Ovis aries: one gene and its partners. The protein of the gene in region 3 interacts with the protein of the main gene of each other region in a biochemical or structural test. Links are inferred from orthologs where the notes say so. Each region holds a gene or a part of one and is shown on either strand. Other genes may lie near its edges. The genes, in order: PRKACA, CAMK2G and RRAD.

What was found.
Region 1: of the proteins of RRAD (region 3) and PRKACA, one has a biochemical effect on the other in vitro, tested with the Homo sapiens proteins (2 studies listed by BioGRID). The link is inferred for Ovis aries from reciprocal best matches to the Homo sapiens genes RRAD and PRKACA.
Region 2: of the proteins of RRAD (region 3) and CAMK2G, one has a biochemical effect on the other in vitro, tested with the Homo sapiens proteins (2 studies listed by BioGRID, with this or other methods). The link is inferred for Ovis aries from reciprocal best matches to the Homo sapiens genes RRAD and CAMK2G.

The regions. Positions count from the first base shown.
Region 1 is NC_056058.1:9,911,610-9,921,819, reverse strand, and holds the start of PRKACA (cAMP-dependent protein kinase catalytic subunit alpha), read right to left. Parts: upstream 6,811-10,210; 5' UTR 6,801-6,810; coding exon 6,755-6,800; exon of another isoform or gene 2,871-6,754; coding exon of another isoform or gene 2,849-2,870; intron 1,399-2,848; exon of another isoform or gene 1,343-1,398; coding exon of another isoform or gene 1,190-1,342; exon of another isoform or gene 1,096-1,189; intron 1-1,095. Other genes in the region: SMIM46 (small integral membrane protein 46), read right to left, coding at 1,190-1,342.
Region 2 is NC_056078.1:28,951,517-28,961,095, forward strand, and holds part of CAMK2G (calcium/calmodulin-dependent protein kinase type II subunit gamma), read right to left. Parts: intron 7,010-9,579; coding exon 6,955-7,009; intron 5,920-6,954; coding exon 5,854-5,919; intron 3,676-5,853; coding exon 3,603-3,675; intron 3,454-3,602; coding exon 3,351-3,453; intron 2,923-3,350; coding exon 2,839-2,922; intron 2,404-2,838; coding exon 2,309-2,403; intron 1,767-2,308; coding exon 1,644-1,766; intron 1-1,643.
Region 3 is NC_056067.1:34,191,379-34,201,637, forward strand, and holds RRAD (GTP-binding protein RAD), read right to left. Parts: upstream 6,116-10,259; 5' UTR 6,005-6,115; intron 5,788-6,004; 5' UTR 5,773-5,787; coding exon 5,403-5,772; intron 4,726-5,402; coding exon 4,652-4,725; intron 4,527-4,651; coding exon 4,322-4,526; intron 3,476-4,321; coding exon 3,198-3,475; 3' UTR 2,806-3,197; downstream 1-2,805. UniProt on the Homo sapiens protein: May regulate basal voltage-dependent L-type Ca(2+) currents and be required for beta-adrenergic augmentation of Ca(2+) influx in cardiomyocytes, thereby regulating increases in heart rate and contractile force.

The DNA of each region.
Region 1 (10,210 bases), on a different chromosome or scaffold from region 3:
GGCCAGCTGTGCTGCTGTTCAGGGACCCTCTCTGTGTGTCAGCTCTGTGACACACTCAATGCTTTCCACGGTTAATTCCTACACTGATGGCTCAGAGCTGCTATTACTCTCATTGGACAGATGAGAAGACTGGCTTCTGATCACTTTCCAGACAGTCTCTCACACCCACGAGATTAAGTGCTTTGTTTCTGACGGGTCACAGGGCACCAGGGTGGCCCATGGACAGAGCTATCCTCAACCCTGATGTCCCTGGGACGGGCGCCACCCTGAGAGGGTCCTGTACACTTGCACTTTGGTTTTGCCTGTCATTTGCCTATCTCACCCGTAGGCAGTGCCAGGAATGCCCACAGCCTTGTGGGTAGCCACACCCCTCCCCCCATCAATCCTAAGACTCTCCCTCCCTGTTCCAAGAGAAGAGCCTTCTGGGGGGGGGGGGGGGCACAAGAGTGGCAGATGGAGAAGAAATAGTTGGCCAGGAAAGCCCTATGAAGAATGACCAGGCAGAGAGGGGGCAGTCAGGAATGGCCGAGGGTCCTCGCTTGGTATGCCTGGCTGAGCCAACAACTTGTCTGAGAACTCTCTGAGCTTGGGGGCTGCACCGCTTGCAAGGGTTTCACTAGCGGAATCTTTCTTGACATACGACACCTTCCTTGGAAACCTCCAAACGTACACGCTGAATTCTGGATGAAGGTGGGCAGGGGGGCAGGGGGGTGAAGTACCCTCTTGGGACTCTACCGTCACCCACCCAAGAAGGCAGAGAGGAGTGCATTTGAGAGGAATCCAGGAGAAAAGCAGGTCCTGCTTCTTCTTTTCCTCTCAGTTGTCCCTGAGAAATGCCACATCCTGTTTTTTCCCAACGTGGTGGGTCGGCGTCTCTGTCTGTTGTTACCCCCCTAAGAGGCTCCACAAGGATGCCTTGATCCTGACAGCCCTGCTCCGGCCTTTCCAAAGTGCGGGAGGGACCAGGCTGTGCGCGCTCTCATCAGCTTGCCAGATTTGGGGGTGAGGGACAGGGTGTGGCAGTGGCAGGAAGAGAGGGCAGATAAAGAGGAATAATGATGGGGGGAAAACCCAGCCAGGAGTCCCCATACTTACCTCTGCTTCCTGCCTCTTCCAGCAGAGGGTACAAGGGCAGGGAGTGGAGTGGGATGGGGTGCTCAGGGGCCCATCTGCCCGTGGCCAGGGAGGCTCAAGGTGCTGGTTGCGGCTTAGGTGCCCAGAGGGTATGGCGCAGGTAACCCAGGAAGCGGACAATCAGATGGCCCCAGAGAAGCAGCTGCAGCCACAGCTGGAAGGTGGTCTCTGAGTCCCCATCCCAGCCTCTGCCTGACCCCGGATCCATCCCAGGCCGCCCTGACTCTCCCAGGAACGTTCCCTTTGCAGGGAAACCAGGAATACAGCAGAGTCTCTGAGCTGACTTTCTTGGGAGGGCCTCGGGGTGGGGGTGGACAGGGGAGGAGGAGCTGGTTGCTAGGGAAGCATTTAAAGGTACCTGCTCCCAGCTGGCCAAGGTTGGTAAAGGCCCTCCTTGGCAACAGGTGGTGGGAAGAGTCTCCTGAGGGTGTCCCTCCTGGCTGGCCTGCCTGCCCTGGGGGCGGGGTGCTAAAGCTAACTTCCTGTTCCAGGGACTTCACTGCTCCCCACTGCCAGGCCCTGCCTTTCTCAGTGGGTGCTAGACTGCCCAGAGGATGGCATCCAATGTGCCCAGGGCAGTGCCCACTGGGGAGGGGAAGGAGTTAAGGCTCAGGCCCAGGCAGCAGCCAGGGCCTCCCTGGGGGTCAAGGAGGCCCCAGAACTCCATTAATTAGCTGAAAGAGCAGCTGGAGAGAAAGGCGGAGTGGGGGGGGGGGGCAGTGAGAAACACCCTATCTCCTCCCCCAAGTGCTCTTTGAAGCTAGAGCCCTCAAATTTGGCTACTTTGAGAGAGGAATGGGTAACACTAACTCAGCCCTGCTCCTGTGCAGGGGCGGAGAGGGGCATGGCATCCCGGGATGTCCTTGGCCTCTGTCAAACCTTGCCCTGTGCTTGGCTCTGCTCTCAGCCCTGAAAGTCCAAACCGGAAACGAAACGCTAAACCCAGGGGTGGGGGAGGGGGAGGCAGCTTTGACCATCTTCCTCCTTCTTTCCAGATCCCCAAAAGTAAGTGCAGGGTCAGTGGCAGCTACTTATTCCCGGGAGTGCCCGGCAACCTCGGCCCCTGCTGACAACAGGAAGTGGCAGAGAAGGGAAACCCAGCTAGCTGCTGTCTTTGGAGACGGTAGGCCTGGCCTGCTCCTGTTTCCCACAGGAGGGGTACCAGCTTCCACCCTGGTCTAGATTCCATTTGGGCTCACAGGGAAAACAGCCCCCAGGGCCCCAGCAGGAGGCAGGATCCCAGGCTCAGACCTCCTCCCCCCCAAAAAAAATCTCAGGATCCCCTGTTCCCTGAAACTGACTCCTCCTGGAAAGTCTGCGACAGGAAGGCCAAGCCCTAGGCTGAGCCACCCCCTAGTCTGAGTTGGACCTCAACAGTGGACTGGACCACTGCCTAGTACCACCTGGACTCCATCACTGAGCTGGACCAACCCCCCACTCTGAGCTGAATGCCATCACTGAGCTGGTCTACCCCATTGCCTGGGTCTGGGTCAGATCCCCACTCTGGGTGGATCATCCACCCCACCCCCCACCCCCTTGTCTGAATTAAACCACCCATCTCCACTCAGGGTGGTTAGGAAGGGTTTCCAGGGCCAGTCAGGGGTCCACAGCCTTTTCCTCTCCACTTGCTCCCTAAACTCTACTGTAATCCCTCCTTGACTTGAGGGTCAGAGTGTGCCTGGGAAGTTGCTATAGCAACAGGGCTCAGCCTCACCATCGTTGGGGTTGGAAGCCATCACTCAGTCTTCCTCTCAAAGCACCCGGACTACGGTGGCTGGGAAGGCTCATGAGACCTGCTGCACCAGCTTAGCTGCTCATCACCAGAGCCCTGCCTATAGGGGGAGCCAGGGAGTATTGGGGTAGTGGCAGGAAAAGAAACCCAACCTGGGGGCCAGTAGGTGCAGGGGAGGGGCAGAGAACCCTCAAGCTTCTTTAAGCCCAGGTGGACTTAAAGGAAAAACTGTCTTGGCAGGACCCTCTTGGGCACCTGTACAACTGCCAACGCACAGACGGTGTTTGGCCCTCTCAGGCTTCTGTAGTATGTCATGAAGGCCACAATTCTTCCCATCTATGGACCTCTTGCGGAGAAGGCAATGGCACCCCACTCCAGCACTCTTGCCTGGAAAATCCCATGGATGGAGGAGCCTAGTGGGCCGCAGTCCATGGGGTTGCTAAGAGTCGGATATGACTGAGCGACTTCACTTTCACTTTTCACTTTCATACATTGGAGAAGGAAATGGCAACCCACTCCCGTGTTCTTGCCTGGAGAATCCCAGGGATGGGGGGAGCCTCGTGGGCTGCCGTCTATGGGGTCGCACAGGGTCGGACACCACTGCAGCGACTTAGCAGCAGCAGCATGGACCTCTTGGGGGCAATTCTCATTCTCAGAGCATGAATCTTCTGGTCTCTGGGACCTGGGGTAGGGGTTGGGGGAGGTCTGGAGGGCTTCCTCTTACCAGTCCTGTACCTTCTTCCATGGACCAGCTCTTAGGAGTACCTTTTTGGCCAGGGCAGCCAAGGCTGGACCCCCAGTTGGCACCCGTCCCCAGGGCCTCTTGGGGCCACTGCCCTCTCTCAATTCCTCTAGCTTGTTCAGAGCCCTGGGCTTGCTCTTGTTTTTCCTCTGCCCTCTTAGCATCATACTCAGGCTACTGCCAGTGGCTCTGGCATCTTTGAGTACAGATTTCCCCCTTCCTTAGTGGCGCAGATGATAAAGAATCTGCGTGCAATGCAGGAGACCCGGGTTCGATCCCTGGGTCGGGAAGATCCCCTGGAGAAGGGAATGGCTACCCACTCCCACATTCTTGCCTGGAGAATCCCATGGACAGAGGAACCTGGCGGGCTACAGTCGATGGAACGGCAAAGAGTCTGACATAAGTGACTAACACTTTCCCCCACCCCATCCCCGGGCTGGTTCTAAATTCCTGCCCTCTTGAGAGGAGGCCAAGGCTGTCCTGCCCGAGCATGGAGACGGCAGCACAGGGGGCTCCAGGATGCCAAATGGTGCCTACTAAGGTTTGGCACTTTCCTTACTCTAGTTGGGCTGATGTCTGGCAGATGAAATTCAGGTGCCCCCTGAAGGCTGGCCTGGCTACTATCCCTACCCCCACCCCATCCTAGTTGCGGGAGAGGGCAAATTTTGCCTAACTCCATCCTCTCAGAATAGGAGCTTTGAAGCAAAAAAGGGCTTCTTTACTCATCCTGTCTCCTTCTCCAACAGCCCCTGCAAATCTCTGGAAGGAAGTACAGCTTAGGGTGTTTCCCAAAGTGTAACCAGGTCCCACTGGCTGGGGACGAACTGATGTTAAGGATATTTTGCCTTTCTAGTTACACTGTATCTTAAGGTGTACCAGAGAGAATATAACTGGTATAGCAATCCCATGATTTCATTTATATTATTTCTCAGGACAGATCAAAACTTACATCTGAACAAAAGTGAGTCAAAATTTTTATTTCCGTTAACAAAATAGAAGTGAATATAGTGAAAAATCAGGGGGGCAGCTTTGAGTTGGGAAATTCTGGGGTCCAGGAATTTGGCTGGTAGATGGAAATGGATGTGAATCCTGCTTCTGTGGCATCATCTATGTCAAACTCAGAGAGCTCATTTGTAAAATTCAGGTAACAGCCTGTTATGAAAAATCACTTGAGCAGAAAGATCTATGAAGACCATTTAGCCTGGCACATCCTAGCTGCCCAGTAAATAGTGGCTCTATTTTATCCTGATAGTCCCTTCCTGGCTGTCCAGCCTGTACTCTGAATTAGCGGTTCCTTCTGGAGCTTCTGATCTTTTTCTTGGGAATCCTTTTCCCTGTGTGGCTTTGCCACCCCACCTCTCTCCACTGCATGTGTTTGATACGCCTTGAAAGTTTTCCAGGACTATGGCACCTCCCCAACTTTCAACTGAGTCACTGAAATATACAACTGCCTGCTTCTACCTTCTACCTCTGGGCGGGCCTCACCTGCTGGGGGCCCAGCCCCTCCCCTTCTGTCTATCCCCTCCAAGCTCATGCCCAGACCATTTTTGGTCACTACCCACCTGCTCCTCTGTCATCAAGCGCTCAGCTACAGGCACTTGCCTCCCTTTCCCCCGCCCATCAGTGACATGTCAGGCTTCTCCATGGCTGCTCAGCAGCTATAAGTTCTGCTATTTGAATCTGGGTGGAAATAAAGTTCCCTGGCTTCCATGCTTGGGTCTTTCTGGGAGGGAGCATTCAGGGAACTCAGACACTGGGATCTGAGACAAATAACTGGGAAAGGCATATTTGGATGTGGCCATTCCTTTTCAACTCTATTTCTGGGTAACTGGAAAAGGATCCTAGTTGAGGCCCAACTTTAGGGCTGGAGTGATGACAATTTGAGAGCTGGATGACTTGAGGAAGGAGCTCAAGACCATTTCTGAAGGCATTTCCAGGTACAGAATCTCTTTCCCTGGCTGGCTGGAAAAGGCCTATATGATTTGGGGGCTTAAGGTGGAAACAGGGCCACCTCTGGGTGAACCCTGGGGATGATCAGAATCTGTCTCTTGGCAAAGCGAGTCATTAGATGTCACCCACTACTCTTCCTAACTGTCATCCCTTGAGTCCTCTTTCTCACCATCCCAGCTCTAGCTGAATGAGCCCTGGTAAACTCACTCTTAATCCCCTACTTTTCATCCCAAGCCAGGAGCAGGTAAAGAAGCCTGAGGGACTGGGTGAATGATCAAGCCTCAGTTGTGACACAACCATTTATTGAGGGGCCCTCCAAAGAGCCTAGAGCTCACTGCACAGCAGGAGATGGGAAGGGGCTCTCTGCTGAAACCCCTCACCCCCAAAGCCAAGGAAGAGGACGCATGGAGTTCCAGCACGATTGGCTCAAACCTGGCTTCGCAAGCACAGAAGCAGTTCTCTAGGTTCACAAACAGTGTGCGACCCCGGCCAGGGACAGACGCTTGCTTGGAGAAGGAAGCACAAGCAGAGAAGCAGTGACAGTGACAGGATGAGAGAGGGGCAGAGGGACCCAGAAAGAGCCTGTCCCCCATGCCAAGTGACACAGAAGGGAAAAACAATGCTGGAAGTGGCTCTGGGAAATGCTCAAGGGTGGGTTTGAAGAGGGGCTGTGATAAGGTGAAGAGGGGAAGGGCAGGAGAAAGATGGCGGGGGCTGGAGGGGGTAGGGGTGTGGTCACCAAGTGGCCAAGGTCCCTGTTGGGCGGAGGCAGACCCCATAGCACTCCCAGGCTGGCAGAAGCCTGGGTCGGGGTTTGGCAGTGAGTCTCATCTGTGGAAGAGGTGAGTGAGGAAGTGGGGGGGGATTAGAACCTAAGGAGAGGGGCCAGGAAAGTACGGAGTGGGGTGGTGATAGGGCCCCATGTGGGGGCCCAGCGGTCATACGTGCCATGGTTGGCAGTGACAGCTGAGGGGGGAGCACAGTCTTTGCAGTGGAGGGGCGGTTTTTGGCAACGGGGTTCCTACGAGGTCTTCTGCGGGCCCCGGGCCCCAACCTTGGACAGGCAGGGGGAAGGGGCGCCTGGGGGTAAGCAGAGAGAAATGGGGGGGGGCGTGGGGGGAGGGGCCAAGCAGTGATGGACAGGGAGGAGGCTGGCAGCGCGAGGCCGGGATCGGGGTCACGGCCCGGGCACTCACCGCTCTCTTGCTCACTGCCCTTCTTGGCGGCGGCGGCGTTGCCCATCGCGGCGGCGGCGGCGGCCGGGGCCGGTCCCGGAGCTGCGGCGCGGCGGGTGCTGGAGGCGGCCCGCGGCCCCGGAGCACGCTGGGCGGCGGCGGCGGCGGCCCCTCGGGTTGGCTGCGCTGGCTGAGGCGCCGCGACCCCCGCCCAGCCCCTGCTTCCCGCGTCTCTCCGCGCCCGCCCGCCCGGGAACCTCAGCCCAAGTCCGCTGCTGCTGTCCGTGACGCCCCCGCAGCCCGCAGCTCATTGGCCTAGGCCGCCCTGACTGACGGCGCTGCGCCGCCATTCATTGGCCCTTCGCGACCCTCCCGCGCTGCCATAGGCTCTCGGCCTCATGACGCGCTCCTAGGACGCTTGGCCACTCGAGCGCTTGCGAGACCCCAACCGGGCGGGCTAACACGTCTGATTGGCGGAGGCTTCCGACAGGGTCCGGGGTCCGCCCAGCGAGGATACCAATTGGTGGAGGCGCGCTGTCCGGCAAGCCCCGGCAGAACGTTCAGTGTCAATCCCTGGGTGAGAGGGCGGGGCGGAGGCGCAGTCTGCTGCCCCGGCGCGCCGGCGGCCGCTGGCCGGCGGCCGCGCAGCGCTCCGAGGCCCAGGAGGCGGTCCAGGCAGGCGTTCGCCCGGCCCCGTGCGCGCCGCAGTCCCCCGCCCCCGTTCAGTGCGGCAGCGGCTGCGGGCCAGCCAAGGTTGGCGCCTCGGCCCCCCCAACCCCAGCCCCGGCGCAGCCGCTGTCCACCTGCCAAGCGGGGGAGGGGCGCGGCAGGCGCCGCGGGTCATAGGTCGTCGGGCTGCCGGCCGTCGTCATTCATAAGGCCTGGCGCAGGATAGCAGCAGCAGGGTTGGGTCCAGGATGGGACCCTGCTGGAGGAGCTTCAGGAGGATGCTGGGCTCTGGGAGTGGGGCCCTCAGTAGACACCTCTTTGCTGGGTGCCTACCCTGGCCTCATGCCAGTAAGAGCTGGCACTTGTTACATACATTACTTCGCACCACACTCCTTTCACGTAGGTATTATTATCATCATTCCCATTTTACAGATGAGGAATCTGGGGCACAGCCAGGTTGAGGATTCCCTCTGGGCAGTGCAAAAGGAACCTTATCTCCTGAAACAGAGTAGCAAGATGCCTCTTCCTTCAGCGTGCGTGCGTGCATAATTAGTCGTGTCCGACTTTGTGACCCCATGGAATGTAGCCCATCAGGCGCCTCTGTTCATGGGATTATCCAGGTAAGAATACTGGAGTGGGTTGCCATTTCCTCTGCCAGGGGAATCTTCCCAACCCAGGGACTGAACCTGCGTCTTTTGTGTGTCCTCCAAAGGCAGGCAGATCCTTTACCACCTGGAAAGCCCCTCTTCCTTCAGGGTCGCCTTTAAATACAGACAGAGTGAGGACGGTCAGTTTCCCACCGCCACGTTTGTGACATTCGGGTCTGGCTCAGTCTATGCTGGGCTGGGGGTGGGGCACTGCCTTGTACATTGTAGAGTGTTCAGCAGTATCCCGCCGCCCCCCACCCCCCTCACCATGCCAGTAGAGCCTGCTTTTCTTCTGCTACTTGTGACAGCTAAAACCATCTCTGCCATGCTGAGCCGCTTCAGTCGTGTCCATCTCTGTGCAATCTCATCGACTGGAGCCCTTCAGGCTCCTCTGTCCATGGGATCCTCCAGGCAAGAATATTGGAGTGTGTTGCCATTTCCTTCTCCAGGGGATCTTCCTAAGGGAGAGATTGAACCCTCATCTCTTAAGTCTCCTGCATTGGCAGGCAGGTTCTTTTATCACTAGTGCCACCTGCCACCAAAACCATCTCTAGACATTGTTAAATGTGCCCTGGCTGGGTGCAAAACTGCTGCCCAGTTGAAACCACTGAGGTAGAGGAAAGCCCAAACAGGAAGTGATGCCAGGGGCAGGGAACTGGATGAGCTAGCCTCCCTCAGCTTGGGGAGGCTGACTGGTCTCAGTTCTACAAGCCAGCTGGCTGCTCTGAGCCTGGACTGGTATGACCTGTACACCCCACCCAGGAGCCATCTAGACCCATGTTCCTAAGTCCACCTTCGTTTCAAGGAGAGAAGTCTGGGTTTTCCTGTGAATTATGGGGAAATGGCTCACCACTTCACCTGGGGATGTGGAGTTACAAAGTAAGTTTAAGTAAAATTTAATACACGTATTGATATGTGGGTCCTCAGAGAGCAATGCTAATTTCTTCTGGTGGGTCAAGGTCATGACAAGTCTGAACAATCACTGGTTATGCTCTATCTACAGAACAGCTGGGTTGCTTAAGTTTTGACAAAAGAATCTTCCTGGACCTCAGTCTGGAATAAAACTATGACAAGACAATAAAAAGAAGCGAGTAAGAGAGAAAGGGGCAGTCAACCTACTGGTTGAGGCAAGAGGGCCCCCCCCACTGCCCCCATCATGAGGAGAGAGAGACAAAACCGCCTCAGCCTACTGGAGACAAAAGCAGAAAGAATCTAGATGAAGTGCTTTTTATTTTCAGATCAACCAAACATTTAATATAAAAACCCTTTAATACACAAACTGCAATCACAACAGCATCCACGTAGCAGCGCGGGAACAGGGGTGAGGGTGAGGAGCATGGCAGGGGAAGGAGGGCTTTCAGGGTCCCTACTGCTCCCCTGGTCTGCACTGTGGCCTGAGAACATGAGGTCTTGGCAGAGTGCAGACCAAGGCAGCCAGAAGCAGAGGAGTCCTGACACCAATATTGAGACAGAACAGCAGGCCCCTCCAACGCACCACCGTCTCCAAGGGGCAGCCTCCAGGGAAAGCCAGATCCAGTTGGGAGGCAAGAGGAAGGTGGCTGTGACCCAAAGGAGAGTCAGCCATCTACCTCAGCATCCTGCTGATCACCTTTTTGGGAACAGAGTTTTCCAGAGGGCTGCTGAATTGAAAAGTCTTAAAAAATCATCCTGGCAAAAGGACAGAAATTGTGTCCGAGTCTATCTTCTACCAAGACTCCTGGCCTGGGACTCCAGGCAGCTGGGTGGCTCTGCTCAGATGGTTGGGAAGGGAAATGAATGGCAGAGCCTTTGGCCCAGCAGGGTTGGAGCCTTGCCAGGCATTGACCAAGAAAGCCTCAAGGCAGGCCAGGGAGGTCTGTGGGAAAAGTTTTGGGTCAGTGGCACTCCTGGGATGACGGTGGCACAATGGCCCGCAGGTGGAATATATAGTGTGTGTAGAAGAGAGAAAGGACACAAGACAGAAAGAATTAAGAACTGAAGTACCAGGTTCTTTCAGGCCTGGGCAGTAGAGGGGAGATGACCCTCTGGGCCAGGGCTAGGAAAGACCAGAAGCCCCTTCCTTCCTGGGGGCCGAGTCTGGCCTGGATATAGCTGATGGCCCCAAAGTCCTCCATGTGGCCTTCCTAATGCTCTCCGGGAGGCCTGGCTGCCCCTTCCAGAT
Region 2 (9,579 bases), on a different chromosome or scaffold from region 3:
GCTCACAGTAAGGAGTCAACTAGCAGAGAACCAATCCCATCTATTTCTATAGCCCCAACACCATCCATACAGAAATGACCACAACCTGTATTTCTGATTTTTAACTTCTCCATACTTCTAACTCCCCACGAGATATCTCCAGCTGGAGGCCCTCATACTTAACATGTATGAAACTAAAATCATCATCTTTTCTCATAAAAGGGTTCCTCCTCTAGGTTTCCTCTGGGTCAGTGAATGGTACAACCCTCCAACTCAGTTACCAACTCAAAACCTGGCAATTCCCACAGATCTCTCTCTCAAAAGACCTTCACTTTCCAAATCCAGTTGGTCACAGAGTCCTTCTTATTTTGTCTCTCAAATGTGTCCACTCCTTGCCACACCACCTATCCTATCATTACCCTCAGCTGAAACGTTGTCTGGCCTTGCTTAGACAACCACAACAGCTTCCTTAGCTCTCTCTGCCCCTGCCTCTTCAATTCCATTTTCTACACAGCTTCCAAAGCGATCTTTCTTAATTGCGTATTTCATTCCCTCTTTGAAACTCTTAAATGGTTCCCTACGCTTTTAGAGTAACACCGAAACTCCTTAGGCAGAAACTTGTATGTCACTGGAATCGTTTTTGGCTTCGTTCTCTTATATTCCTGCAGCCTTACCTTCATCTACAACCAAACTGCTTAACATTCCTTAATCTTGCCGTAATTCCCCATGGCCTCTCACCTTAGCCCGTGCTAAGCTCAGTCTGCAGGTTATCATCCTGGGGAACTTCCAGTAATCTACTAAGAACCAGGACAGAGCTCACCTCCTCCACACCTTCAGCAATCCCACTGCCCACCAGAGATGGCAGGGGCTCCTATACACTCGTTAGGTTTTTTTTACGTACTTGTCACATTGCAGACTGGTTGCCTGCTTGAGTGCCTGTCTCCCCAGATCATCTCTGAGATCTGTGGGGGAAGGCAGCAGGCCTTATTCATCTTTGTATCTCCAGCACACAGGGACCAGCACCAAAGAGGCATTCAGTAAACATGGAAAAGAACAAATGAATACATGCATCATGGTTGTCAGGAGGCCTGACTATAGCAGACCCTGTTTGAAAAAAGATATTGCAGCCAGATAGAAGCTTACACAAAAACAGAGCATGATGATGACCCACATCGATAGCCTGGGGGCTCTTCTAGGATGAGCTTTGTGACTGAACTTCAGGAGCTCTTTTTCATTGCTCACAGGCCCCTTTTGTTTATTTGTTGGGTCTCGTCACCTTCCCATTAGAGTTGTCTTATTTGGAATCTGGATATGCACTCTAGGCATGGCAATTTACTTTTGAGTTCTGCTGGTTGCTTTCTGTCATCAACTAGAGTCTGCAAGGGTCAACCTAAGCCCTCATTCAACAGCAAAACTAAGTCATACCTGCCAAATGAGTGGGGAAGGTCAGGGAGAGGTCAGTTAGTCACAATAGCTTCCCTGGCTTCTCTTGGTGACATTTGCTGCCCCTGGGCTCCACCCAGTCCCCTGTCCCCTCTGCACCGTCTTAGCTCAAGGCCCCACGTGATTATTCTCTAGTCACAAGAAGGAGGGTAAAGACAGTGCTATGAGCACATTGAGAGCTGATATCCTGGATCTCCTTGACCTCAGGAGAAGACACTTACGCAGACCCATGGGTGCTTGAGAGCCTGGTCAGCTGTAATACGCTTTGCAGGGTTTATGGTCAGCATCTGGTTGATCAAGTTCTTGGCTTCTGGAGTCACTGTGTCCCACTCTGGTGATGGGAACTAAGAAGTGGGAACAGGAGAAGGAGGGATATAAAATCTGTGCACCTTATACCCCCTGTAACCAGGGTTAACTATCGAAAGCTGCCTAGCATGAAGTGGGCTAAGCACTGGGTATCCCAGGAGTCAACTTAAAGATTGGGAAAGAAAAACAGAACAATCATGGTTAGAATGCCAGAATATCATATCAGGGGACCCTGACATCTGGTTCAACTCCATCTCCCTACAAGGAGGAACCTGCTGCTCAACACTGTGCCCAAGGCCCCACCGCAGTGGGAGGAGCCGCCATACTTCTCATCTCTATGTCACACGGCACACTACACAGCCACACCATTCTTTGCAAATAACAGAACAAAGGGCTTTAGTAGACTCCCTGATTCTGCAGCCACCAACAATGGCTGTGCAAAAAAGTTGCTCCCTGGGACAGGTGGTGACAAGAATTGAGGCCTATATGGTCCTCAAAATCCCTAACTCCCCACACCCTGCAACACACTCAGCACACCCCCTTCCCCTAGACAGTGGGGCAGGAACAAACTTGTCCTTACATCATAGGCTCCAGCCTTGATCTGCTGATACAGCTTGTGCTGATCCTCATCCCAGAAAGGAGGGTAGCCCACCAGGAGGATATACAGGATGACCCCTACAAGACAGAACACAGGTCACTGGGGTCAGTCACCTGCTTTGCTGAAGAACCAAGAAAAGCCACATGGGGCTCCGAGCCACCCAGAAAGTCAAGGACCATCCCAGAGAGAGAGGTGGATGGCAGCCGACAATGCTGTGCCACTGTGCTTCACACCCCACATAACCACGCCATGTCTGGGATTTCTTCAGGCACAACCCACCCACTAAGGCATGGGTAAATCCCTCTTTTGAGAAGGAGACATCATCTTCTAGGAAGCTGGGGAGGAGGTTGTGAAGGGAACAGCCATCCCGGGGGACACCAGAGCAAATGCTGTGACTTCACATATACCAGATGCCTGTGGGACCCGCAGGGAATAGCAATGCCTGTTTCTTGTCATCGCTGGAAGCTGAGCGCCCTTAACACCAAAAAGCTGAGTGTGTGGAATGGGCTTACCGCAGGCCCAGATATCCACAGGTTTTCCATAGGGATCTTTCCTCAAGACCTCAGGGGACAAGTAACCTGGGGTGCCAGCAAAACCTGTAGCGGAAGAGAGAGCGGAGGCACACTGAACCCACTTTCTCTCTCATTAAATCCACATCAGCAGTTTTCCCCAAGTCCCTTCTTACTCCTGTTGATTTGGCTACATAAGCTCTCAGCACCTGGGCAGCAAGAGACGACGGGCTGGGCTTCTTGCAGTGCCCGGAATCTAAACCAGAGGGCGAATACATGTGCCTTAAAGGAACTTCCATTGTCCCCGGAGGCAGCAAAAACGCAGTGCTGACAGCAGCTAGTCTCACTGTACTGAGTCACGGAGGGCCAGGGGGAACTCTGTGCCCGCCCTTCCTCCAGTCTCTGAGGAGGCCAGGACCATTAAGGGTCTGGCCTGTAGTTCTGAAAGAGGAAGGCAGATCAGGAAGAGGAGGAAGGGCGGGAGCTGCATTCCAGGAAGACAGGGTCACTCTTACCAAACCAAGCCTGTTGCTCTCCCTGTACTTCGATGGCTAGGCCAAAATCAGCCAGCTTGACAGCAGCACCCTTGCATTTACTCGCCAGCAGCAGGTTCTCAGGCTGTATAAGGAAGACAGAGAGCCTCGTGAGGCACCAATCCCACAGCCCAAAGGGAGCTTAGCTTGGGACCATGCAGTACTATCATCTGGCGCCAGGTGGCGCCAGTGGTTCACAAACAAGAGGCAGAGGGGAGCCGGGCAGAAAAGTACCTTCAGGTCCCGGTGGACGATGTCATGCTGGTGGATGTGGTTAACACTCTCCAGAATCTGATGTATACAGTGGCTGCAAAAGCACGAAAAGAAAGGTCAGTGCAGGGTAAAACCATCCACGACGACATGCTGTAGACTAAAGCACTTAACTCTGGCTAACGGATTCACACAGAATCACTGAATGAGGAGCTAAAACCTCGGACTTTGGACACCATCTGTTCAACCTACTTTACCAAAGAGGAAACTGAGGCCCAAGCAGACTAAGTGGTTTGTCCAGGGTCTTCCACTAGATAACAGCAGAGGACAGACTAGAACAGGGTCCACCAAGCCTCCTTAGATTGTGAAGGCTCAACATATCCAATTTGTTTCCAAGGAAGAATACCTCAGACTCCTGAGAAAGAGACACCATCCAACCCCTTCCTCCTTCCTCTTTCCCCCTATAGTAACTGTGTTCTTGGAGAAGAGGCTTGTGGTGGCAACTAAGGAAGGATAGTCCAACCAAGCCCAAGTTGTTTTGGGGGTAGGGAAACATTTATCAAGCACCTATAAGCACTGGGCTGGGTATCACACCAGCTGTATAGGGGACCCAGTGCCTGCCCTGAAGTTTATCATCTAGCAGGGGAGAGAAATGAGTACACAGGCATCATCGAGAAACAAGACACTTAAGAGAGTTTCAAAGAGGCACCCCAAGGAGCATTTCTCATCATGCTTTTGCACAGGAAAAGACACACCAGCCTAGAGTCACATTCGGCTGCTGATTCTCAAATTCTCAAAGGCCACCCACCTTCCAAACCATCCTCCACACCTGTGGTCAACTCCCAGTGGAGTGCACCAGGAGTCCAGGGCACTGGAGAAAACCAGAGGATGATTTCGGCCCCCCAGGGGACATCTGGCAACACCTGGAGACACTGCTGGTTGTCACCACTGAGAGGGAGGGTGCTACTGGCATCTAGCAGATAGAGGCCAGGGATGCTTCTAAACCTATAACGCACAACAGGGGCCCTCACGACCAAAAATGATCCGGCCCGAACGTCAGTAACCTGGACTGACAGTATTCCTTCCTCTGAAATCTGAGGCTGGGGCTTCCACAAGAGCCAAAGTGTCTCGCTGGGTTCCTGGAGGCTGAGGCTTAGGCCTCCCCATAAGGACATGGTCCAAGAGTAGGCCGAAGAGTCTTTAAGACTGAGCTGAAGAGGCGAGTCTCCACAGAAATATATAATTAGAACAGAGCCAAGCTAGCAGGGAGAGCCTTCTGGCCAAAAATGGCAAAAGTGCGAAGTGTCCCAGCAGAGCCAGGCCAAGCCCACTGGTACCGTCACCCGCCCCAGCTCCCCCTCCTCCCCGCCAGGCTCCCTGAGCTATCACCGCCTCCTCCCCCCCACCGCCCCAGAGCCTGGTCCTCCCCTGCTGGCACTGGAATTCATCTCCCACTTGAGAATTTTTCCTGAGGCTGAAGCATCTGAAGCTGATCAGCGAACGTTGGCCTCTGAGGGTTGAGAAATCTGTGAGGAAGCTGTTTCCCCCTCCACGCCCCCAGAGGCAGCCAGAGCTGGCACATATGCCTGAGAAGGCTGCAGGCAGGACACCCAAAATCAGGTTGTCAGGACATCACCCTCAGAAAAGATCTGGGGTGGGGGAGGAGCCGGGGCAGGAAAGGCAGGCCAAACAAGTGCCCAAGAGCTGTGGTGTGGGAGGAATTCTGCTGTGTCATGTGGAGAAGCTGCCAGGGTTTCTCAGAGGGCTGGGGGCTGAGGGGTGTGGCCGAGGAATGGTTTTCCAACCTGAAAAGCTGGTCCTAGTGGTCGAGACACAAGGTGATAGTGGCTGAAATCTCCCAGGAGGTTCCCTGGTTGGATTATTAACCCAGACGTTTACACTCCTTTGGGACACAAACCATGTTTTCCCCATCTCTGGATCATTCCCAGGATGCCTTGTATGCAGTAGAATTTGTCAGAAGGAGAAAGTGGAGATAGGGGAGGGCCCTCATGAGTATACAGTGGGGCAAAGGAAAGGCATTTCTGGTGTGACAGGGTGAAAGAGATTTGTAAGAGCTTTGCAGAAAACTGACCTGGGAGTGCTGAATTATTAACTTCTAAGCATGCCCACGGAATGTAGCCTGAATCCAACCCTACAGAATCTTTGTCCAGGTAAGAGCTCTTCTGACCGCTCCCAAAGACGGTTCCAACAGGCACAATGCCCTGCCCCCTAAGATGGTTAAGAGGCACACTTACACCTCAGGGCCTCATCTCACCTGGCATCGGCTTCACTGTAGTATTCCCTGGCCACAATGTCTTCAAACAGCTCTCCGCCGGTAACACTGCAACCAACAAAGAGGGTCAGAGGAGGCAGCATCCAACAAGCAACCAACAGCCACACTGCACAGCGGCTTTTACAGACGTGGCAACTCTACGTGTGCTTCGTCTGCAAGCTCAGAACACACCAATCCTTCAATGAAATGGAGCTTCTTCCTGGGACAATGGGAGCCCTCCCCACCCCCTGCACATTTCTGTGTCTATAATTTGTAGATTACCTAATACTCTGGTAGAGATGAATGTACAGGCAGTTAAGAGAAAATAACTGACTTACTCAAACAGTCTTAGCTTTATTTGAGACCAATGAATACTAAGATCCAGCTGCCCAAGAAGGACTGACTTACTACTGAAGTTGAAGAACAGTGAGACCAAGGACACAGAGACCCAACCCTGAAAATACCAGAGAGGCATTTCCATTAGGTGAAGAACCACTTTTAAGACATTAAACCACAACCAGAGTGGGAGAGACCAATGGGAGCCCAGTTTACAACTAACTAATAAAAGGTGCCTTCAATTTCCCAGAATTCTTAAGGTCAGGCAAAGAGCTACGTTGTGTATCTCCACTAAGGACAACACACTGAGAAACAAGGGGGGAAAAGCATCTGCACAAGGTGTGCTGCAGAACAGAAAGTGCAAGAGCAATGCCACCCCAGGGTCAGAGCCCTGGGGAAACACTGAGTGAGCAAGGAGACCCTCGGCAATCTGCTCATTCCGAGCGGATGGTCAAAATCAAACCCCTCTCCACGGGCACGACTGAGCGACTTTACTTTCACCTTTCATTTTCATGCACTGGAAAAGGAAATGGCAACCCACTCCAGTGTTCTTGCCTGGAGAATCCCAGGGACAGGGGAGCCTGGTGGGCTGCCGTCTATGGGGTCTCACAGAGTCAGACACGACTGAAGTGACTTAGCAGCAGCCACGAGCAAAGGAGAGGGACCCTTGGCAGAGGCTGAAGACCCAGTGTAGGGCTTTTTTTCCCAGCCTTCCTCTTGAGCCGGCTGGAGGGAAAGACCCCCACACCCTCAGAAAGTGGCACTTACAGGTCAAACACGAGGTAGTGAAACCCTTCTTCAGAAATACTGTCATGGAGGCGTACTGCAAGAGAGGAGATGGGGACAGAGATTAACAGAGAGAAAACCTGGAAAGCCTGCTCCTCTCCTCCTTGGCCACCCCAGCCCTGTCCCATCCTGTCAGCCCCACTGGCTCTTTCCCAAGAAGAGGCAGATGCCCAGCATCCCTGGGTCCAAGATGCGGCCACAGAGCAGAGATGACCAGACCCCAGGGCCAGGGCTCGGGTCGCCATCTCAGACTGCCTCAGATGTAGGCGAGAGACAGAAGCTTTGTGGCTAAGAAGTAAGGCAGGATGGAGAAAAGCAGGAACCTTCTTCCAAGAGGGGCTGGTCCCAGTGAAGGTGGTCCTGGGATGTGACGTGTAAGGGTGATGTGCAGAGCAAGAAGCACCTAGGGATGCAGACCTCAGAGGGACAGAGAATGACAGGAGGGGAGACCCTGGAGTAAATGGGAGCAGAAGAATTAGGGGCAGGGGAAGAAGCGGCAAAGGCACAGCCCAGCAGGCAACACACGGATTCAGGCAATGACAATAACCATTTATTAAGTGCTGACTTCGTGCCAGGCCTTGAGTTAGGCTCTTTGCGTACATTACTTAAGCTACAAGTATGTATCGAGTGCTGACTGTGTGTGGTAGATGGTAGGATTTAGGAAGGACATAGTGTCTACTTCAAGGAGTTTATTATTCCTGATGACCACTCTGAGATAAGTATTTCTCCCATTCCACAGATGAGGACAATGGAGGCTCAAAGGCATAGAGTTTCTTGCCAAAGGCCAAAGATCTGGTGGGTCCAGATGTGAACCCAGCTCTTTCTGACTCCAAAGACTGGTTTATACCACTGTCTCCTACAAGAAATGTGGAGGAGCCCACACACCCAGGCGACAAAGCAGTGGAGCCTGGAGAGAAACCGCTCACGAATGTGCCCACAAGATGGGGACGGGAGGCTACTGCATGGAGCTGCAGTAAAGGCGAAAGAAAAGGCTGGTGAGCAGAATCTCTTCCCACTCACAGCCTCCAGAGCTCCTGGGCAAGAGCCCAACCTGATGCTGCTGAGGTCTCCTCTTTAAGCTTCTGCCCACAAAGCCACCTCAGGGGGTTAAAATGCCAACACCCCCCTCAGCATCATTCTAATGCAAACGCACCTCTGCTCTGATCAACACTCCTGCTTGGTCCCTTCCCTCACCTGCACTCATGGAGAGCCTGTGTCCCAAAGGGCTCCCTCTGTTTGACCTTCACGCAGTTCCAGGAGCTCCTCACGGAGCACTTCAGGAGTGGCCTGACACCAAACCGACCAGTGAAGTTCTTAGATACAAAGAAATCTCTAGTGTGTCAGGCCCCCACCAGCTCAAAAGATACCTTTCATTTCCAGTACGAGGGTGTCTCCTCAGGACTGAGGCACTTCCCTGCCTCCCCTGTGCCCCACAGCAAGATGAGCTGAATGTAAAATCCAGGCCCTCAGCCATCACTGGAGCCCTGTGCTTTTCCTCACTCGACAGATGAGGACTCGGGCCTGCCAGGGCGAGAACCAGGGCCCAGCAATTGTTTATGCTTCATCCTGCCGACGTTATTAGATCTGATCTGGTTACTCAACCTCAAAATTCCACCAGAACTCAGTACTTCTGCGATTTACCAATGGAATCAAAGGCGGGTGGTACTCCTAAAACCCCTCCTCCTCAAATGATTCTCTCCTGTACTTGGGCGAACAAGCAAGCTCCTACTTCTCTAGGCCTGTGGGTGACAGAATGAAGAAGCTACAGCCAGACCCCTGCCTCCCCGCTCCCCCTCACTAACCCAGGCGCGCTCAGGCGAGCTCCCCCAAAGCCCTGCCGCCCTCGTTCCTGACTTGCCTTCTCTGGCCGGAATGGGTGGCTCACGCTGAGCCCTGCTGCAGCTGCTGCTCCCTTGCTTCCAAAAGGACTTTCCATTTAATTAAAAATTTGCTATTAAAACGCATTAAAGTGTGTAATACAAATAATCCCCTGGAAATCAGCTGTCCCAGAAGCTACAGATGAGCTTCATTAGGGAGGTGACTAACAGCAGCAGCAGGAGGCACTAACAGGGCAGCAGGCACCGTGCTAACAGGGATAGTCCTGGCACCTGGCTGTCCTCCCCAGGACCCTGATTCCAGACCTACACACCCCGCCCCCACGGCCCCGAGCCCAGAAGGGCAAAAAGGGCAGGCACCCATGCCTCTGCGCAGACAGGGAGTCATGGGCACTTGCCCTTCCCCATGAAGACCACACACAGAGTCCAGGTGTGAGCAGACTGGGAGGGGAGTCAGCTGAGCAGAGCTGCGAGGGAAGACTAGTCCTCCCAGGCCACCCAGCCCAGAGCTCCACTTTGGTGTGGGTCCCAGGGCCAGGCACCGCCAAGGCAAGGAGGGACAGGTGTGGAAGGCTCCATCACTGAGCAAGACTGCTATCTTTCTCTTTCCATTTGTAGAGAAAATGAACAGGGGGCTGAGAACAAGAGGAGAAACTTGACTGCACCACTCTAAGTGCCAACCTAGCAGATTCGCAATAATAAAGATCCAAATTATAATACCTAACACTTAGTTGAGCTGTTTCAATGTGCCAGGCATTATGCCAAGAGCTTT
Region 3 (10,259 bases):
TCCAGTGGCTCCAGACTTGCTCCCACTTCTCCCCCTTATGCACCAGTGTCTGCAGCTCCACCTTGGTCCACGCTGTTCCTTTTTCCTGGAATGCCCTTCTCACTCCTTCATCTGTCTTCTGATCACCTGCTCAGGCTTCAGCACTCAGCTCAAATAGTCCTTGCTCCCAGGAAAGCTCCCCTGGGCTCCCAGGTTTGTTCGGGGCTCTCCCATGGTGATACTTCATTCCTACCCATGCCCCCATGCCATAGAGATAGTGCTATCTCTATCAACACGAGGAGGGCACCAGCTTGTTCCATCAGACTCAGAGGGCCTCCGGGGCAAGACTCAGGGACCCAGTAATTAATGACCTGGTCCTTGCCTGGCCCTGGCAGCTCCCAACTGACTTGTGGAACTAAGATAAGGAGCTGGAGGTGCCATGTGCAGGATAGGGGAGTGGTGCATGACCTGAACCAGATATTCGGAGCTCCAGACCACCCACCAGTGTGACCAGTGGGCAGGGGTAGGAGGATAGCAGCCCATGAGAACCCCTGAGGCTCCCTAGGTGCTCACACTAGCCCCTGGACACAGACAGGGCTGGGACAATGGACTGTCTCGTGCCTTTGAGAGGAGAGAGGAGTTTGAGCCAGTTCAGGTGACCTTGAGGGAGTTGCAGGGCTGACGGGAGGCCCTTCCCCCACTGGTGTAGCCTAGAAGAGTCGGGAGAAGCTCCTAGGGCCTGAGTGTGTGGAGTGGTGGGAAGAGGATGGGAAAGGTCAAGGATCTTGGTCTCCAATCTTTCCTGTGGTTTCCCTGGAGTCCTTCCCATTGCATATCTGGTTAATTTCTCTCAGGCTAGAAGGCTGGATCAGGACCCCTCAGCTGACCCCAACTTTGTCCATCACAAGCTGAGTTCCTGCCTCCAGGTCACTTGGGCACCCCAGCCTGGAGCAGTGCAGCGTGGGAATGTTGAAAGGGTCTCACGTCACATGAGAGGGGTCTCCAGCTATGTGCCTGGCACTACTCTAAGCAGATATTGTCATTATTCCACCCATTCCATTCTGAAAAGGGCATCGTGCCCATGTCACATACTGGAGCACAGAGAAGTTGACTGACTTGCCCAGGGTCACACAGCCAATAAGTGACAGAGCTCGGAAGGTCTGGAATCTTCTTCAGGCCTCAGCACTTTCACCTGCTCTGAGGAAACCATGCCCGCCTTTGCCTTGGTGAAGTACGCTGAGACTGGGAGCGGGACTGCAGCTTTGAGCTGCCCTGGGGGGCATGTGGGTTAGTCACGGGGATCACACGCCTGAGGAACGGCTTTCAAACCTCCACCTGCTATTGAACAACCGCAGTCAGAGTTCTCACCAAGTTCTGAGGGCTCCCAGGAGCCCTGAAAAAATTGACTAATATAGAAATATCTGGATCCCGGCCTGGAACCTTCTCAGAAACCATCCCCAGCCTTGCCCCTGCCTGCCTCTGGGCTCCCAGTCCCCACTCAGCCACTTCTGCCCGTGGGGCCCCAGGTAAGTGCTTTGTCCCCCATCTGCCATTGTTGAATGGGAATGCTCACTCCTGAAACCATGATGGTAAATCCAAGCAGGCACTTGTGCCCAGAAGGCTCCCCTTCCAAGGTGCGGGCGGTGGGGAGATACACACCTCCACCTATCAGCAAAGATGCACACGTTTACACGAGAATGCAAGGCCTCTCATTCCAGGCAAGGAGGGCCCCAGGGACCTGCTCCTACATTAGGCAATGCCGAACATGGAGTCCTCTGGTGTGGCCACTCTGTGGGGAGAATGGCCCTCCCTGTCCCCCCACCACTTCCTGCCTAGCAACCCAGCCTCTGCCAGGAGGTGGGAAGCCACACTGAGTCAAGTCCCCCGAGCATGCCTTTCTTGTGCATGCACGTGTGCTGTCGCTTCAGTCGTGTTCGACCTTTGTAACCCTGTAAACTGTAGCCCGTCAGGCTCCTCTGTTCACGGGATTCTCCAGGCAAGAATACTGGAGTGGGTTGCCATGCTCTCCTCCAGGGGATCTTCCCCACCCAGGGATCAAACTGGCATCTCCTGTAGCTCCTGCATTGCAGGCAGATTCATTACCACTGAGCCACTGGGGAGGTCCTGTGCCTTCCTCACCCCAGCCTTAACAAACCAGCTGCCTCCTTCTCCAGCCAGGGAGTCTCGGAAGTCTTCCTCAGTCACACCACCTTAGCAGCTTTCCAGCCTCTCAGGAGGGATCAGGGCAGAGACAACCACCCAGGAGCCAGACCCGACCCAGCAATCTTGTTTGGCCATGACACCCGGGGACAGAACGTGTCTCTTGGGCAGCCTCAATTTCCTTTACATACAGTATGTGTTAGTCACTCAGTAATGTCCGAATCTTTGCAACCCTTTGAATGGGAATGCTCACTCCTGAAACCATGATGGTAAATCCAAGCAGGCACTTGTGCCCAGAAGGCTCCCCTTCCCCTGGCGGACTGTAGCCCGCCAGGCTCCTCTGTCCATGGGATTCTCCAGGCAAGGATACTGGTATGGATTTGCAGTGATTGAACCCTTGATCAGCTGGGCAATGCCAGGCCCCAGTACAGAAGAATCTAAATAATAGGTTGGGTGAGATTCATGTCTCTTCCTGCTGCTTGGACCCCCACCCCCCACCCTGTTACCCCTGCAACCAGACCACAATCCACACCTGCCCCTTCTTAACATTAGAATAGTTAAGGCCACAAACTGCGGTGGGGCAGTGAGCCCCCTTCCTGAACTTAAGGAAACTTTCCTGTTCCTACAGCCCCCAGAATCAAAGGAAACACAGAGTCACCAGCCCTGGCCTATTGGGAAATAGTCTTTATTACAAAAATCTGCATGTAAACAAATAGCCACTGCACTGAACAGCCTCCCTCCAGGGCATGCACACCAGGGTGTAGGGAAAGGCAGAGTCCTCTCCCCACTCACAGGCCTGTCCCCAAGGGCTGGCTGGGGTCAGCCTGCTGCTTGGGATGCACACGGGCCAGCACAGGCATCTCAGTGGGCCCAGCAGAGATGGGCCCAACAGCCACTGGGAGCCGCCTCCCTGGGCAGCACTGTCTGTCTGTCTGTCCATGACCGTGAGGTGGGGGACACCCAGAGTCTGAGCCAGCTCTGAGGCACCTTGGGCGGTTGGCTGGGCCAGCCCACCAATCAGCCCATCTGTCTGCACAATACAGCAAGTGCCCCAGGGTCTAGAGCACAGACAGGTCATGGCAGGACTTGGACTTGGCACGCATGGCCATCTTGCGGCTGTTTCGAGCGACGATGCGGCCCAGGAAGCGCTTCGCCTTCTTGCCCAGGCTCTCTCGCCGCCGGGTACCCGCTTGACGACGCGCATTGGCCTCTTTGCTGTCCCTGCGCAGGCGTATCTGACGCACAACACCCTCGAACAGCGCCTGGACGTTGTGATGCAGCGCAGCCGACGTCTCGATGAACTTGCAGTCAAAGACAACGGCGCAGGCCCGGCCCTCTGGTATGTGTGGCAGGGGTGGAGGGTGGGGGACAGGCACACATCAGTAAGCAAAAGGTGAGTGGGTGAGAAGCCCACTCCAACCCTGGCCACACCTTGGCAGCTATCCGTGGGGAAGGGGAAGGGAGTCCTGGATCCTCCCCAGGAACACAATGAACCCCGGCTCGTGTATGGAGGGGCCCAGGCATCACTGGGTCACCCAGCTGTAAAGCTTGCCCATGCTTAAGGAGCTCACAGAGGCCCACACAAGGAGACTCATTTATCAAAATAATTTGGAGTTTGATATTTAAACAGTAGTGCTGTAGTAGTCAATGCAGAAAAATGACAACTTTGTTGGACAGCATGGTGTTTTATGGCTTGCCGTTATATCATGATGAATGACGGGGAATGGGGGGAGGACATCATCAAGTCACTGCTGGTTCTTCTGTGGGGTTCAGGTCTGGGGGGTCACAAAGGATGCTGAGCCCAATGTTGGGGGACGGGTTCTTTCCAGGGTCAAGACTATGCAGAAACTGGACTGGGCCTGGAATCCAGGCTCTGGCCTCCCGGCCTGAGTCCCTGAACTCTCCTCACCCCTCATCAGCCAGGCCAGGGACAAAGAGGACAAAAAAGGAGGGCTCTGAAATGGTCTAGCAGCTTTTATCTCCTCTTGTGCATCTGGTCCCTTCCCCAGCACTCAGGACTCGGGAGACCTGTGGGAGGGCATAAGCTCTCCCATCTCTCTGAGTTTTCTTCCTGGACATTTTTAGCCACTGATGATCCCCAGTGACTCGAGCTGAGTCAAGACTGAGTGGACCACAGCGAAGCCAGGATCTCCCTCCCTTTCCAACCCAGCTCCCTGCTCACCATCCAAGGAGACCTCGCGAGAGCGCACCAGGTCGCTCTTGTTGCCCACTAGGATGATGGGCACGTCGTCGGTCTGCCGCGCCCGCCGAAGCTGGACCCGCAGCTCTGAGGCCTTCTCGAAGCTTCCCTTGTCAGTCACTGAGTACACAATGACATATGCATCTCCCATGGCCAGGCAGTGTCCGGGTAGCCAGCGACCCCCATCCTAGGGGACACAGACACATTTACCCAATCGTCCTCACGCCCCAGCTACAACGCTGTCATTCCCAGCAGGTCCCTACCCCCAGCTCACCCCTCTCACCCAGCCCTGGGTCTCAGCCTGAATCCTACCTGCTCCCAAATGTCATAGACCATGAGTGACGCCTCTTCTCCGTCCACCATGATGGAGCGGTCATATGTGTGCCCTGGGCAGGAGACCAGTAGTCAGGTTAGTTGTTGGCTGCCACAACCCGCCCCCCCCTCAATGCATCAGGTGTCCTATTCTGGCTACACCCTTCAACTCCTCCCCAAAGCCCCCCAACCTTCTCCTCCACCGATAGATGCTAAATAGTAACAGAAATGACAGGGCTGAGAAATGCGGGGGGGGGGGGGGGCAGGTGAAGGGCATGATGTGCCAGGCCCCCACCTAGCTACCCCTTCCCCAAGCTAACAATGTCCTGGGTGGCCATTCCTGGGCTCCCTGCCCTTCTGTTCCCTGAGACCCAGGATAGTTTTGATCACAGTGGCCCGAGTTAGAACAGACAGCCCCTGGGGACCTTGGTTACCTAGGACTCCTCTCCTAGACTCTCCTGGTTGTGTTCTCCCGGGTCCTGGCAGGGAGGGCTATCCTGTCCTCACACTACAGAACAATTAAACATATTACCTGGGTCTTCTACTGCAAGCACTTCTTTCCCTACTAAAGGCTAGGTTACCTTCCCCCTTAGTTTCCCCATCTGTGAAAGGAGGAGGCAGACGCGATTCTCAAAGCACCTTCAGAATTCCGTTGGTATTTGCTGCTTTTAACCCTGATCCCCAGTCCTGCAGCCCCCAGTCCTAATCCTGTGTTCGCCCCTCCCTCGAACAGTCCCTCCCAGTCCCTCACCTGCGGCTTCAGCTTCAGGCCCGTCCTCTACACCTCCGAAGATGCGCGCCAGAGCGCTCTTGCCCACACCAGGCGCCCCCAGCAGCAGCACCTTGTAAACGCTCTCGTCTGAATCGCTTCCTCCCGAGCTGAGCGAGTCGGAGGAGCCCTCGGGCCAGTCCAGCCTCGGACCCTGGGCCCCTGTCGCGGCTTCGGCCGTTGTCAGAGCGCCCGGAGACAGCGCCGCCTGCAGGTCGCGCTCGTCCACCGGCATGCTCCGGCGGTGCAGCGGGAGCGCGGGGCCCCAAGGTGTGCTGCCCCGACGGCGATCGCGTTCCCGGCCCCCGCCGCGGTTCCCGTTGGCTCCGCTGCCGCCGCCGTTCAGAGTCATCCCGTCGGACGCCGTCTGGGGAACGGGAATCCGGATAGCCGCGTAAGCCGCGGTGGACATGGAGTAGGAGGCTGGACCCGGGACACGCCTGCCTGACCACGGGTCAGGAAAGGTGCTCGGGGTATAGGACCTGCCGCGGAAGGTCTTTGCGCCCTGACAAGTGACCCACTCTCCTGGCTCGTCCATCTCAGACGGTGAGACCACCCCCACCCCGCTCTGCCAGGACACTCACCCACTCAGACACGGTGAGGACTAGGTAGGTACCAGGCTCGGATACAGTCCACCCGTAGACCCAGGCGCGAACACTCGACCAGTCGCAGCCGCCGCCTTCTCAGTCGGTTCTGGGCTCAGGCGCCAGAGTTGCCTATTTAAGCCTCTGCCCGCCCCCGCCCCCCCCCCCCCCCCCCCCCGCGCTCGCCCCCGTCTGTGCGGTGCGGGGGCTGACGTGTCCGTCTCCCTCCCCCGAGGGGAATCCCCCACCCTCCTCCTAGGACCTCACACCCACCCAGCCCTCGCCTCACTCTCTAGGGCGGGGCTGGGGCAGACCCCGAAGACAAAAGCCCAGTCTGAGTGTGTGTGTGTGTGTGTGTGTGTGTGTGACAGAGAGAGAGAGAGAGAGAGAGAGAGAGAGAGAATTGGGGGTGGGTGGAGGGCAGGTAAAGAAGAAGGAGAGGGCGTCTGTGAGTGGTACGAGGAGGAGGGGGACAGAGGTGGAGTGGAGAGCGCCATCACGGGTTGGGGGGCGGGCAAGGCCGGAAGGAGCCCCATCAGCCCAGTGGGCCAAGTCCCCACTAGGAAAGACTTAGGTCTGGCCCTTTAAAAGTGATTTCTCCCTTCCCTCTCTCCCAGTCCTGGCCTGTTGCCCAAGCAAGCAGACCAGTTACAGGTCCACAGACTTCACCCTTCACTGCCCATGACACCCATTTATTTTGGGGCCCTAAATCCAAGCTTCTAACCTCAACCCCAGGTCCTTCCCACTCTCAAACCTGCCCTTGGGAGTTGACGATTCTACCTGATGAGCCTGCCCTTTGAGATGAGGGTTAGTGATACCTAAGCCCCCAAGGGGACCCTTAGAGGCCTGTGGGGAAGGGGTGGGGAAGCGAGGCCCTCTGGCAGTGTGGGGCAGGTAGAGGTGCAAGCTTGAACCTTGAAGAGGGAATGTGGGCCCAGAGAAGGAAAAGGATGGACTCAGCACCGCCTCCCCCTCAGCACCCTCCAGGCAGCTGCCAGCAACTCTGCTAAAAATACCTGCTCATTGGGCTCCTGGCCTGGAGGTTGCCCAAAGTTAGGGAAATCCTGGCAGGCAGGTGTCAGAGACCAGCAGGAGCGGATAGGGGTGGGACTAGACCGGATCAGGTCTGGTTCCAGTCATTCTGAGTCTTCAATGTCTCCTTCCTTCCCTTTAGTCTCAGACTGGGCCTATAATTCAAGGCATACTTGGGGTCTGGAGGTTCATAGTTATAGAGCATGGATGGGATCGGGCTTCCCAGGTGGCTCAGTGATAAAGAATCCGCCTACAATTCAGGAAGAACCCTAGGGATTGGGAAGAAGGAACTGGTAACCTGCTCCAGTATCCTTCCCTGGGAAATCTCATGGACAGAAGAGCCTGGTGGGCTATAGTCCATGAGGTCGCAAAGAGTTGGACACGACTTAGCCACTGAGTGTGCAGGCACACATGGATGGGGTCAGGCGGTTGGGAATGGGATAGCCACCATTTGGTGCCACCACTGCCCCTCCTCAGACCCAGGGAGGATGCTGGGGCACAGAGGGGAGGAGATGTAATGGAGAGACTTGGTTTCTAGTCCTAAATCTGTCCCCAGGGTCCTAGGTTTTGCTTCTCTCCCAGCTTCTATTATTCTATCCCAGCCCCTCTATTATTGCCTTGCTCATGTTTGGGGTGTGTGAGGACCGGGGGCAGGCAAGCTGTGAGGTACTTTGTGGTAGGGACCTCCTATTAGACTGACGTTTGATTGCGAGGGGTGTGATGGGGGTGGGGGGCACCCATTCAGGGCTCAGGTGACATCACGAATGGATGGATCCTAGTGGGCTGCTGTAGGTTGTCATGGAGACCGGGGTCAGGGCTCTCTGGCTGCTGCGTCAGTTTCCTTGGCAACATCTGAAATGGCCTTGGAATGAGCAGGGTCTGGTTAGGTAAGTGTTAGAGAGCTCACGCAGGCCCCTCTAGTTCTTGACGTCCTCAAAGCAAGCAAGGCCTGAACTGAGGGGTGGTCTATCCATTTGTGTCCTTCACATGGCTTGGGGGGTCTTGGAGGACTGGGCAACCCCATGTTGCCTCTAGCTTCCTGGACCAGGTCCAGTGGGAAGACGGAGTCATGGGCTGAGCCTCCTGTCGAAGAACAAAAGTCTTGGGACTTCCCTGGTGGTCCAGTGGTTAAGACTCTGCACTTCCAACGCAGGGGGCATGGGTTTGATCTTTGGTCAGGGAACTAAGATCCCACCATGCCATGCAGTGTAGCCAAAACAAACAAACAAACAACAGAAGTCCCAAGAGCCAGCAAACCACTTTCCGTCAGGAGTCCCAGCTGGGCTGCTCACGGCCCCTCCTAACCACCTTACACATGACCTTGCTGCTGACAAGAGCCCCTGGATGTCCAACAGAGGGTGGGTGTTGGGGGGGTAGCTGTGGTCATGTAAGGAATTAGGGCTGGGTTTCCCCTCTGATAATCTAAGCTCTTGACCTCAGCAGTGTTTCCTCATTGCCAAGGGAACTGCATCCACACTGGGCCACTCAGGCCCCAAGCATTCCCCAACATGCATCAGTATGGCCAGGGGCCCCAGGAACCATACCAGGACATGCCCTTGAAACACCCCCAATTCTCCGTCATCTCAGTTCTCTGGGCTGAGCTTGGCTGCCTAAGAAGAACAGACCGACGCAAGAACACCCTCAGGATAGCCTGCCCTTCAAATCCCACCTCTGCCCATTTAGTTTGGCTGAGCCTCAGTTCCCTCCTGTGTAGAACAGGAATAATGCCTACATGACGGTGGTTATAAGATATGAATAATCTGAGGACTTCCCTGGTGGTCCAGTGGTTAAGACCATGCTTCCAATGCAGGGAGTACAGTTTCGATCCCTGGTTGGAGAACTAAGACCCCACCTGCTGTATGGTGCAGCCAAAAAAGAAAAAAAAAGGTATAAATAACATGAAATTCAGAGGTAAACTGGTTGGCATGTGTCTGGCATATAGTATTATCGATATCTCAGTATGAACACTTCTATTATCGCCCTTGGTTGGACAGGACAGGCTGAGCGGCTCTGTCGGCCCTCTCCTGCTGCTTCTCTCCTGCTCCTGCTCCATTCTGTCCACAACAGTGGTCTGCCCAGGACAGCAGCAGGTACAGATACTTCTCCCCTCTCCCCACTACTCACATGTTCTCTGTGGGACCCTATGCCCTTCCCCTTCCTGGGAGAGCAAAATGCTGCAAAGGGAACTTGGCTGGATTTCAGTGTCCCCACCCCTCCTCACACCACAGCTCTCATGCCCCAGTTCCTCTGTTCTGTTCTAAGGCCCAATTCATTCACTCATTTCACTGACCTGTACTAAGTACCTAACTGTATGCCAGGCCTTTGCGCTTTGGGCAGGATGATGAGCAAAAATGGACAGACCTGGGCATGTTCATATGTGTCCTCTAATCCTTGGGTTGGTCTCACTTAGCTATGATTTGTTGTTCCCATTTTGTAGACGTGGTAACCGAGGCCTGAGAAGTCATAGGCCAGAAACAGCACAGCCAGACACACCTGGCGGAGGGCTTCAGGGACCTGAAACTTCATTCCCCCACCTCACCCCCCCCACCCCACCCCCCATCCCCATGTTCGCAGATAGCAGCTGGGATTCCAGAAAGTTACTCAGGCACTAGTCCAGTATTCACAAATGGTGTCACTGCAGGCAGCTGGGGGCCAGGCCCAGATGAGTCAAAACTGAAAAGGGGATATCTGATATGCCGGCTGGCTGGATGTGAGCAGCTTGGTGTCCCTCATCCACTGTGGCCTGGCTGCCAGGAGGGCCAGCTGAATGACTCAGTGACACCTGTCTCCCCTGTGACCCCCCCACCCCCAGCTGAACAGAGACACCACAGATCTTAGACAGATCCGGGCTGTCACTGCAGAGGTACACAGGCAGTGAAATCTACAGCTGGGTACTGGTGGTTGGGAAGCCTCCTTGGGGCCTGAGGGACTCTGGGAGGTTGGTCACCTGCCTCTCTTGGAGCACTGAGCTGCCTCATCTGTGGAAATGGGAGGGTGGGTACTCTGCCTGGAAGTTCACTTGAAATGGTCCTAGATCCACTTGCAATCCCCTCAGAGCAGTCCTAAGCTGTTGTCACCATTTCCCACATCACACATGAAGGAACTGGGTGACGTGGACTGATGGCTCTACCTCTCTGAGCAGCCAGATCTTGGTCACTGGGTGGCAAAGCCACTCTTGCCTAGAAACCAGGTGACACTGGTGGTAAAGAACCTGTGTGCCTAT